Linked DNA regions of Oreochromis niloticus. The protein of the gene in region 1 binds, or shares a complex with, the protein of each later gene. Links are inferred from orthologs where the notes say so. Each region holds a gene or a part of one and is shown on either strand. Other genes may lie near its edges. The genes, in order: ncf2, cyba and rac2.

Region 1 (3,754 bases):
TGTTGTACAACATTGATCCAAGGTCCATTTTGCTAGCTTACATTAGCCAACAAGAGCTAGCTACGTGTAAACACGGTCACAAAAGGCTACACTAAGCTAACGCACTAAATAATATAGCGACTCTCCGTCCACGGTGTCATATCACGCATGGCATGTTTCTTAATAATCTTCGCATTTTTTCCTTTAAATTTGCCTACGTATCATAAAGAGTCGTTGTCTGATAATGTAGCAGACCCATGTTTGTTTAACTACCGATGGGGCCAGTGCTAGTTTGGATCAGCCGGAGGGAGGCAGCGCGCAAGTCGCTCTGCTGTGATTGGTGGAGACAGTCAGCGTAGGTGGGCTCAGGCGGTAGAGAACCAACCACACAGCAAGGAAGCTGGAATAGTTTTCTTCTGAAGGTAAGGAATACATACTTTGGTAAACAACAGAAAAAAACCCCACCAATATAACTGATTTCATTTACAATACAAGTGAATTAATAAAGCTGTGCTAGAGTGCAAAGCTTGTACTAGTAGGTCACTATCGTTTTTAAAAACTTTAAGCCGGAAGTTGTAGTTTGTGCACTTGCACTGTTTCTGATAACTAAAAGACAACAAAAAAGAATACCGACTGCCTGTTTCGAAGTGTTTTTACCTGCTGTAAATCGTGATTCAATAAATAAATAAATAAACAAATAAATAAAAAACCCTATTACTTTCAGTCTTTCTTCTTATCTTATCCTTGTTTACTGACACATCATTAAGTTGTTCTTGTGTAATCACATTCCCTACACCCTGTCCGTCAACATTCCTGGAAATCTATGGCTAAACATCACACGCATGACATATGTGGTGATGGGAACGTATAACAAAATCAGATTAGCTTTATTTAAATACCACACACAAATAATGAATTGTCATGTAGATGACAGAACATCACATTGGGAAAAAAGGGACAACCCTTTAGCTTTAAGACCTGGTGGTAATGTGATATTTATATATACACCAACAATGACTTTCATCACACTTCCTCTTCTCAGTGGTACAAATCAGAGGAACTTCCTTACTGTGGTCTGTAGCTCAGTGTACTCCTAACCTGCCAACATGTCTTTTGTAGACACTCTGCGCCACTGGGATGAGGCGGTAACTTGCGTCAACAGACAAGATTTCTCCAAAGCACTTGAGATTTTCTTGGCTATTCAAGAACCAAACTCCAAAATTTTTTTTGACATTGGCTGTCTCCATCTTCTTAACCAAGACTTCGATGCTGCTGAAAAGGTATGTCTGATCTGCAGGCTGAAGCATAAACACACAAATATTAACAGCTGTCGTATCAGCACATTAGTCCAAACAAGAAACTCTTTTGAAAGTAGCTGAAATAAAATTCTCTGATATGCTGTGTGAAAGCGCAAGTCACTGAGAAAGGAGAAGTAGATCTTACCATGTTTTCTAGAGGAAGTGACTGTTTTTTTCTGTTTCTCAGGCGTTTGATTGCAGCATACGCAAGGATGAACATTTGGCCATCGCCTTCTTTCAAAGAGGAATCACTTTTTACAAAAAGAAGAGGCAAGACACACCTGCCTTTTTCCTTTTTTTTTTTTAAAAAAAGGGACCATATTATTTTTTAAGTTTAATGACGTTATTTAAAAATGCTTCATAGTATATCATATGCAAATGTTTTAACTTTTGTCTCTATGTCTCTATGTAAAGGTATGAGGAGAGTTTAGCTGACTTCCAGAAAACCTTTAAAACACTCAGGGGCAACCAGCTAATAGATTACAAAGCGCTTGGTCTCAGATACATACTATATGCTTGTGATGTGAGTATTCTTGATAACCCGCCCTATTATTAATCCTGAACACTACATCCAAATAATTCATTTGATGTTATGAGCTGTTCATTCATAATACAACTTAGCATTCGTTTTTTTTCCTGGCCAAGGACACAAGCTTAACAATGTCTCCACAGGTTCTCCACAATATGGCCCTGGTTGAAGCTCAGTTGGGTAGATGGGAAAAGGCCCAGGAGTACCTCATGAAGGCTCTTGACTACAAGACAGAGGCCAGGTTTAATATCATCGACAAAGCTCTGCAGTCAATCCTAGTCAGTTGTGATACAATCACTTTTGTGAACCCATTTAAATGTGATTACATGTATGATATCAAATGTAGTAGTTTTTCTTCATTCCATTAACCTATATTTGGTAAGCTAATATGCTTTATTCTAATTTTGCTTTAAGTCAGGTGGATATTGATATGCACGACTGCTGTATTAACCACCGGCAAATATTTTAAGTTTCACTCACAATGAAATTTCACCAACAGAAACAGAAACTTTTCAAACTGGTCGAGTTCCAATCAAAAGAGATGTTCAAACCAAATAAGCACTATGTTGCAGAGCTGGAGAAGAAAGACTACCTGGGCAAAGCAAAGGTGATCTGTTATACAGCCTGTTCTATCTAATCTAGTGTGATTATAAAGCTATCAAAAGTCAGCATCACAACATTTTATTATGTTAGGTAAAATGTCAGTCACTCATTTTATATATATATATGTACACACATACAGAACTTACACATTTGAAATTACTCAGAGAAACCAATAAGTTTATTGTTGAGTGATATCTATAAGCTACTTTCCCCCCCTCTTATCATCAGGTCGTTGCCTCTGTTGTTCCTCAAGATGAGTTCTCTGGATTTGCCCCATTGCAGCCTCAGGTGACACACTGGCTTTTATTGACAATAAAAACTTTACAGTTTGATGACAGAAACAGCAGTGCGTTCTTATCTTCTGTTACTTTATATTAAAATATGCTACCTTGGTGCCTGTTTTAAAAGCTTCCAGTGATCCACATCAACAAAATGGAAATGAACTTGTGCTGCATTATAGAGCAGCACTGCAATCCTTTACAATGTTAAGAATTACTGTTAGATTGAAACTTTACATATTCCAGTGTGTTGCCATGTCTCTGATGGACTGTGTTTTTTTTATTTGATAGGTGGAAGATGGTCCAACTTGTCCAAAAGAGCCTGTGGTTCTGAGGTATGATAGTCACTTTGGATCCATGCAGATTTGAAACTCTTTAAACAGAAATGATCTTAGTATTTAATGATGTTATAGTTGGCAAGTTTTTTTGATATGTGGATTCTCTACTATACATGTTTAGTACAAATACAAAATGGGGGAAAGCATGAGTCATATCTATGAAACTTTGCTTTCCACAAAGAGAAAATGTGACTCAAAGTGTAGATCTAATAATTAAAACCTGAAAATAGAAATGTACCGTTACACAGAATAGTGCCAACTTTAACCTTTGTGTCTTATGTCTCTTCAATTTCACATCAGTTCAGTTCAGTTTTATGTATACAGAGCTAAATCACAACAACAGTCACCTCAAGGCACTTTATATTGTAAGGTAGACCCTACAATAATACATACAGAGAAAAACCCAACAATCATATGACCCCCTATGAGCAAGCACTCTGGTGACAGTGGGAAGGAAAAACTCCCTTTTAACAGGTAGAAATTTCTGGCAGAACCAGGCTCAGGGAGGGTTGGGGTGAGAGAAGGAAGACAGGATAAAAGACATGCTGTGGAAGAGAGCCAGAGATTCATAATAAGTATGATTCAGTGCAGAGAGGTATATTAAGACATAGTAAGGGAGAAGAAGAAATACTCAATGCATCATGGGAATCCCCCAGCAGCCTACACCTATTGCAGCAAAACTAGGGGAGGATTCACTCTTGATGCCATGTGGACATTTCTTGTGTTTAC
Region 2 (3,754 bases), on another chromosome or scaffold:
TAGAGGCAAGAATAAATGTAAAAATTTAAAGCTCATGAAACATATAATTAATCTGTCGTTTCATCTTCTTGTATTGCCTTCAAGGTTGGACCAGGCCCGTGTGTTGTAGAGGATCCCACTCAGCAGCTGCTTTCATCTGATGGTTTTCCCAAGAAAATGATGTGATTTCCTCCTGCAGCGAGTTCTACTGAGCAATAGGAAAGCCAATGTGACTTAGTTGCATATAACTTTTATCGCAGCAATACCAGACACCTTCCTCACAACAGCAGAAGATGATACATCTCCCTTTAAATTTTTAACTGTCCTGTTTGGTCTCTTTTCTTAACATCATTACTCCTTTGTGCTCTTTCATAGCTTTAATCATTTCTGTGTATCTGCAGGTAAACACTGATACTGCCTTGACTCTCTGGTCGTAAATAAGTGGAAACTCTTGCAGTGAGCAATGCACTGAGTCATAAATACAGATCAGACTGGAGCCCAGAGCTGACCCATTGTTCTGTCTGATCGAATTATTGTGTGTACAGTTTTCTTGTTTCTTCTTGTTAATCACCATTTCCGACCAACAGTGCATATTTAATTCATGTCAATTTTATGGCACACAATAAAATATATTTTGGTCAAGATTTCATTTGTTGTTTATGATTTTTGTCATTCCATCATCTGATTCTCATCCAGATGAGAAAATAATTATCTATTCAATCTCAGAACTTTAAAAGATTAACTCATAATTCTGGTAAAGAAGCAGCAGAAAGGACAGCAAATAATGGAAAAGAAAAAAAAAATCTTTGACAAATTCCGGTAACCTAACAATCACCGCCACAGTCAACAATCAGAGTGTGTATATCTTGCGATAAAGCCGGTCTTTCTTTTCCTTGTGTTACCTGGCAGGAGTTTTCGGTTCTTCCTCTTTCGCTGTAGCGCTGCATTTTTTCGGAAATGACGCTTGAAATAGGGATTGGCTAAGGCAGAACAAGCCTCGCCCTCTGACCTGCCCACCTGCACCCCTCAAATCTCGTAAATACATTTTTCTTCCTTGTAGAAACCATTATCACCGTCGGTAATCCACGCCGGAGGAGCTCCAGGAGGCTGCAGAGCTGCTGTTAGGTTAACATAATGGGGAAGATTGAGTGGGCGATGTGGGCTAATGAGCAGGCTTTGGCGTCGGGTCTAAGTGAGTATGAAAACTTTATTATTATGGAGGGGGGGTATTTAGCACGTTTCTTATTGTCTTATTCGGTTACATGAGCGGTACTTTTAGCCTCTTGTCTAGTTCATTTACAGAGTATTTCTGACAGCATAATAAAGCACAGTTTACCACCTCTGTGTGTGCAGTCTGCAGGAGTGTATTTTTTAAATCTTATCTTCCTGTTTTCTTCTTTCAGTTCTCCTCACAGGAGGGATCGTAGGCGTTGCTGGACAGTTCAGAGGGTGGCAGTTTGCTGCTTATGCAGTGTATCCTTTATTTTCTGTTGTATTTTTTATTGTGTCTGAATTTTGGCTTATTAAGCCTTTTCTATGTTGTAGAAATAATAACATGCTAAATAGGATTTTATTTGTGGGGGTTTTTTTGTTCTTGGGGTTTTTTGTTTTTGTTTATTTTACCAGTAATTTAATGCATACAGGAAGTTCAAATACTTATAACATGTAAATACATTATAGGCTACACAGCTAATACTAGAGCCTTTGGTATTCTAGTCTGTATTGACGTGATAGAACAGGTGATGTGATTCATCTGTCCTCCACTACACCTTAAACAGACTCTGTAGGATTGAGGTGTGGTGATTGTGGAGGCCATTTTAAGTTCAAGAAACCAGTCTGAGACTGCGTAGTGCACTGCCCAAGTGAAATGAGCATTTACAGTGTAGTCATGGAGGGACACATATGCTTATCAACAATACTCAGAAAGGCTGTTACATTCAAATTATACTGAAACAGTAACGATTCTTCAATTGCTACGCCAAATTTTGACCCCACCATCTGAATGCTGCAGAAAGAGGGTCATTGCCAATCAACCAGGCAACATTGTTTTCCAACCAAGCATGCCCATTGTGGGCTCTGTTTCCTTTTCTTAGCTTAGGTCTAAAGCTGCTGATGACCATTTGCTTTTTTTGACAGATTTTGTGCTCAGAGATCCTCCTCTACACAACATGTGATTTTAGTTTTTATTGCATTGCTGCTCGATCAGTGCAGCTATCCCTCTCCTATCTTTATCATCAGGAAGTGTTTTCGCAGCTCATTGGGTGAATTTTCTTTCTCTCTAAGGCTTATTTAAATTATTATATGTCAAAATGCATTTTGTTCCTGCCTCATAAGTGACTGAATTGGTGTTTTTATTGACAAGTAGTTGAACAAGTGTTATTAATACAATGACCGTCAAATGTTTATGATGCATCACACAGTATGTTAAGCACAACTATGCAGCAAGTTAACATCAAACCTGACCAAATGTTCTAGTGTTATGGATTTAACCGACGCTGTGCTTAGCAATGTTCACACTGACATGCAAGAACGTTATTTCTTTTTATTCAATAATGGCAAAAATACAACATGGGAAAGTACTTTCTTTTCTCCCTCAGTAGCTATTCTTATGAAATAATGGAGATATTCTCTTTTGTATTAGGAACAATCCTCTCATTCATTGTTGTCTTTGCCTGCTGAACCTGCTCAGCGTCACCAGTGTTTATCTCAATTTCACTTCTCAGACTTATCTCAGTGAGCATTCTTATCTGACTTCTTTTGGTCCGGTTTAGTTACTGCACTGTGTTTACTGATGATGATATATTGTTTCTGTTTTTGTGTCTGTGTGACACTTTGCATGCAAATAAAGAACATTATTTTAAAGAAAACACCTTGACAGATAACTAGTGCTGCCGGGGTGTTTGTGTGTCTACTTGAGTATCCCAGAAGCAAGAGGGCCAAGGGCACGAGCGTGGAGAGAACGTAAGCAAACACTGTTCGTTTGGATGTGCGCTGGACTTTAATGGACAAGTTCTAAGTCGCTCATCATTGTGTCTTAATTTCTCTCAGGGGCCAGTACTGCTTCACTGTGTGTGTAAAAGCCTTTGGACCACTCACCAGGAACTACTATGTCAGGGCATTTTTACATGCTGCGTGAGTTCATTATCTCAGCCACAGTCTTTGCCAAACAGCATTCCTGTCACTGTCGATTAGTCAAGGATTATGACTTGTTTTCTTTAGTCTTTTGTCTTCAAAATCCATTTGTTTTTGTTTTTGATTGTTTTTATCCTCAGTATCTGTGTACCTGGAGGTTTTATGCTTGCCACTGTTCTTGGATGTGTCTGCCTTGGCATTGCCAGCCTCATCTACCTTGCAGTAAGTTTGCAGCTTTTTAACCTATTTATTTTTCTTCTGTCCAGCAAGTTAAATAACTTTTTGATAAAGTTGTTAACTGAAGCAGGAACTAGCCAGTTGGTGGAAACAAGGAAATAGCAACAAGGAAGAGGTTGTTTCGTTACTGGCACCTCTGTTGAAAGATGGCCGTGTAGTTATGAAATCTGAACAGTTAGGGGTGTGACTGAATTCCTCTACACCTTTGTGGATTTTGAAGCTTTTGAGGTTGCACTGTTTATTTTTACATTCTCTAAACTACTGTGAGAGTCAAAGATAAGAACCAGTAATAATAATCTTCCTGATTTTCAGTAACAGTACAGTAACTTTCAGTCATGCTTAACTTAATCATGCACAAGCCAGTCATTGTTGATTTGTCATCTTCTTGCTTTGTAGGCCGCTATAC
Region 3 (3,754 bases), on another chromosome or scaffold:
TATCTTATCTTATCTTATCTTATCTTATCTTATCTTATGTATATTTTGTATAGCATTCATGTGCATTACTTGTTGTTTTAAGTCTTTATAAAAGTAAAGTTTGACTTGATTAGATGCATGTCTTTGGACTGTGAGGAGAGGTGGGAGTGCCCATGCATACATTAGGACAGCATTTAGGATGCACACAGAGGGACCACAGCTGGATTTAAATCCAGGATCGTATTGCTGTCACACAATAGTGCTGACCACTGCACCACCATGCTGTTCCTTTTAAATTTACAGACACATAACTTGAAGTTAACCGACAATAAACTTTTATTTGCAGGTGGTTACTTGTATCACTCACACTGTGAGGACATAAATGTGTTTCATAGTATCAGGAGTGCACCAGGAGTGATAACAAGGTTTAATGTTGTTTTAAGATCACCATTAGACACATACTGCAGAAAACACCAGGAAGTGAATGTGAGTCAGTGTCAGGTTGTGTAAACCAAGGGAAATGTAACCGCGCGTGTGAGTGCATGTCTTTAATTAATGAGGTTTACGGAATTCAATTTTTTTTCATAGCAAAATGAAATTTGAGGTAAATTAATTTTAGCTTCCGTATGTTCCGGACATGCTGGTCTGCATTGAATGGTAAATGCCCAACAGTAGAGGAAGTTTTAAATAAAGCTCTTATTGTTAGCAGAACCTTCCTCTTTGTGGCCATTTCACAGCTTCTTCTCTGTTGCAACCGAGACTGCTTTTCAACACCCTTCACATTAATTTTTTTATGGGTGTCTTATTGGTATTGGTAGCTTTTCAGCTTAAGGTCTGTTGTTTGAAAGAAGAAAAAAACAAAACAGGAAGAAGGAGATGAGTGCAAAAATGAAGGGAGAGAGGCTGAGTAAGAAAAAAAGAGGCAGCAAAAGAAGGGGGAGGGAGGTGTGCAACAATTTCCTGTAGTTGCATGCTCTTCAGCGTCTCTCAGCCTTCCTCTCTGAGTCTGTTTCTTTCAGAGTGAAGAGCACAGACGAAGCTGAGCGGAACAGGATGCAGGCTATCAAATGTGTGGTCGTGGGAGATGGGTATGCTATTATTTTACTAATTTTAACCAGTGTGTTATAAATTAAAGAGGCCTTCAAGCTTTGAATTACACAGTGGTCGCCCAGCTGACGTGTAAATGGGGATTGGCCCCAGGCTCTGAATTTCAGGGTAATCAGATAGAGCTGTCAAAGGTTGTCACATGGTAGGAGCAACAGTTTGACCCACTACAGCAAGATTGCTGTTCGGTTCAGCGTAAAAGCGTAAAAGAAACTTCTGTACTTGTGTTTTATGTCCAGTGTTAACATGTAGATCTTAAGGTGTGTGTTTGACAGCGGTGATTCACACTGAGCGCGCTGGATGAGCCATGCAGGCCACAACATGCAGGAAAATGCTTTAAGGCAGCAGAACTCCTCTTCAAAGATGAAAATCCGATAGATGCCACAAAGATCAGTTCAGAAAATACAAACAAAGTGGGAGAAAAGTATGACTAAAAAAAGAAGAGGCAATAAAGAAGCAGAAGCTCAAATGTGTAAATGATTAACCTCATTGTGTTTTTGACATCTGAAAAGTTGTTGAATTTATTTGCCCTAAAGGGTGAAATGTGCTCGCGTAAGAAGTTTGGATGAGCCACCGTCTGCCATCAAATGCGTCTTTCGTTGAAGGTGGGGCAAAATGGCTGGCTGTCAAAGTGAAGGAAATTGTAAAGCGGAAGTCCTACAGTTGTTTCTCAAAAATAGTTCAGTAAACACTTTAACACAGACAGTTAACCATCCAGAGGTAGCACACAGGTACTGCAGTGTGTGTGCAGAGCTTCCTGGTGTGTGACACTGATTTAAAAAATTGCAGAGAGAGAGAAGCCGTAACAGTGACGCGTGTAAATATTTGGAAAGGGAATCATGTGGTGTTGGCTCTATTTCATTTAGCATGCAACATTTACATAAAACCTTTTTTTTTATTGAAAGCCTTTGATTGTCAGCTACTAAAAAGACCTCACATGAAAAATAACAGTTCAAGTGATTTAAACAAATGCAAAACATGATTTAAAATTTGACATTAAAAAAAAAAATAATTGTGTGTTTTCTCTAACATTTTTTGTAGTGTTCAAATATGCGTCAGCTTGAGAACTCTATGAAAGGAGCAAATGTATACATATATATATATATATTTGAATTTATGAAGGCACCTTCATTGTTATGGTTACAGTGACAAGTGACAATGGTTACAGTGACTACTACAGAATATAGAATAAATAGATAATTAAATAACAGTCATAATTAATCAAAAAAAGCATCAATTGTTGGCTGTCAACAGGAAACCAACAGTAGTCAGGTTTTATGTTAACCAACATATTCATACTTTGATAAATTTCTTGTTTTGTTTAAATAACTTGTATTGTTATTTTTCTTAAGAAGCTGTTTTTTAGTAGCTGCCAACCAAAAGCTTCCATTAAAAAAGGTTTTATGTAATTTAAGTGTCCTAAAGTAAATAAAGACAGTTCACTAAAAATAAGTGACAAAACATGTAAAGCAAAAAAAATAAGCAATAATAAGTCGCAGTTTCTGACGTGAATATAAGCTGCTACAATAAGCACTGCAGAGGTAAACAAGCTGAACTTTTTGTAGATCTTATTTCATTACTTTTGACTCCACTCCAGAACTTGACCTAGATTTCAGTTCCACCTTTATTACTTGTTTCTTTACAACTAGTGCTGTGTACAAACTAGTACTGCAAATATGACGATACCAAGTAAATACAGGGCCAGTACTGCGGATACCAATACTCACACTTTTAACCTATAATAGTTTATATAGGGAAGTGCAGTGCGTCACGACTTATGAGACATTATTAGGGACATTATTAATTTGCAAATTCTGAACACATTTTAATGATTTTTACTTTCCACAATAATTAGATAAAACAACAAAACACACCTTTTAGTTTCTCATGAATTTTCAAACTGGGTTTTTCAGAGACCCAGAATTTAATGTTCATGTCTCAAAAGCACTTTGGGTCAGCTTCTGTTGTTTGAATGTTCTATAGGGTATAAATAAAATAGACTTGCAGTCAACACAAAAAGGTTTAGACGTTTTTTAATATGTTGTTTAAGGAATATTATGCTATGTGCAAAAGAAATAATTTATTTAACAGATTCAATGGACTACAGACTTAACTTAAAGCACTGAATCAATCTGATACCAATATCTGTGTTGGTATCAATATTTGGATTAATTCGTCCACCTCTATTAAAAACACAACACCAAGACAAAGGCAGTCGGTTCACTTCAGTGGATTACACAAGCAGGAGGAAGTCATTCTTTCTCTTTAAAAGAAAAATTGAGAAGAGCTTGGAGATGTGCCCAGTTTTACACCTGTGGCCACATGAATAAAAGGAAATATTGTGAAAAGGTTTTCAAAATGTTGCCTTTTGAAATATTTGAAAGATACATTGCAAATAACCCAGCCAGCCCTTTTGAAAGTCTATGTATCATTTTTATGTGACAGCCAGAAAGCTAATGATGGTGGTGGTAATTTTCACATTGATTTCTCATTTTTTAACCTCTGCTAGGCGCTAACAGTGTATATATAGATACATACGCACAGTAGTTAAACTTAACTGCTGATGGAGAAGAGGAAGTCGGTTTCATGTTGTAGGGAAGTCCGCTGCAAGAGTCGTGGTATTTACAGTTTAACAGCACAAGCATTTAAAAGGCTTTTAAAATCTTCACTG

The links.
Region 2: ncf2 (region 1) and cyba share a complex: the UniProt entries of both Homo sapiens proteins name them as parts of the phagocyte NADPH oxidase complex. The link is inferred for Oreochromis niloticus from reciprocal best matches to the Homo sapiens genes NCF2 and CYBA.
Region 3: ncf2 (region 1) and rac2 share a complex: the UniProt entries of both Homo sapiens proteins name them as parts of the phagocyte NADPH oxidase complex. The link is inferred for Oreochromis niloticus from reciprocal best matches to the Homo sapiens genes NCF2 and RAC2.

The regions. Positions count from the first base shown.
Region 1 is NC_031974.2:25,538,928-25,542,681, reverse strand, and holds the start of ncf2 (neutrophil cytosol factor 2), read left to right. Parts: upstream 1-1,045; 5' UTR 1,046-1,085; coding exon 1,086-1,259; intron 1,260-1,464; coding exon 1,465-1,547; intron 1,548-1,691; coding exon 1,692-1,800; intron 1,801-1,949; coding exon 1,950-2,084; intron 2,085-2,305; coding exon 2,306-2,413; intron 2,414-2,637; coding exon 2,638-2,697; intron 2,698-2,978; coding exon 2,979-3,022; intron 3,023-3,754. Other genes in the region: garem (GRB2-associated and regulator of MAPK protein 1), read right to left, coding at 1-28. UniProt on the Homo sapiens protein: Subunit of the phagocyte NADPH oxidase complex that mediates the transfer of electrons from cytosolic NADPH to O2 to produce the superoxide anion (O2(-)).
Region 2 is NC_031965.2:23,060,659-23,064,412, forward strand, and holds the start of cyba (cytochrome b-245 light chain), read left to right. Parts: upstream 1-961; 5' UTR 962-1,113; coding exon 1,114-1,171; intron 1,172-1,382; coding exon 1,383-1,452; intron 1,453-2,865; coding exon 2,866-2,940; intron 2,941-3,027; coding exon 3,028-3,111; intron 3,112-3,251; coding exon 3,252-3,333; intron 3,334-3,744; coding exon 3,745-3,754. Other genes in the region: mvda (diphosphomevalonate decarboxylase), read left to right, coding at 85-165. UniProt on the Homo sapiens protein: Subunit of NADPH oxidase complexes that is required for the NADPH oxidase activity that generates, in various cell types, superoxide from molecular oxygen utilizing NADPH as an electron donor.
Region 3 is NC_031971.2:8,485,731-8,489,484, forward strand, and holds the start of rac2 (ras-related C3 botulinum toxin substrate 2), read left to right. Parts: upstream 1-912; 5' UTR 913-1,032; coding exon 1,033-1,067; intron 1,068-3,754. UniProt on the Homo sapiens protein: Plasma membrane-associated small GTPase which cycles between an active GTP-bound and inactive GDP-bound state.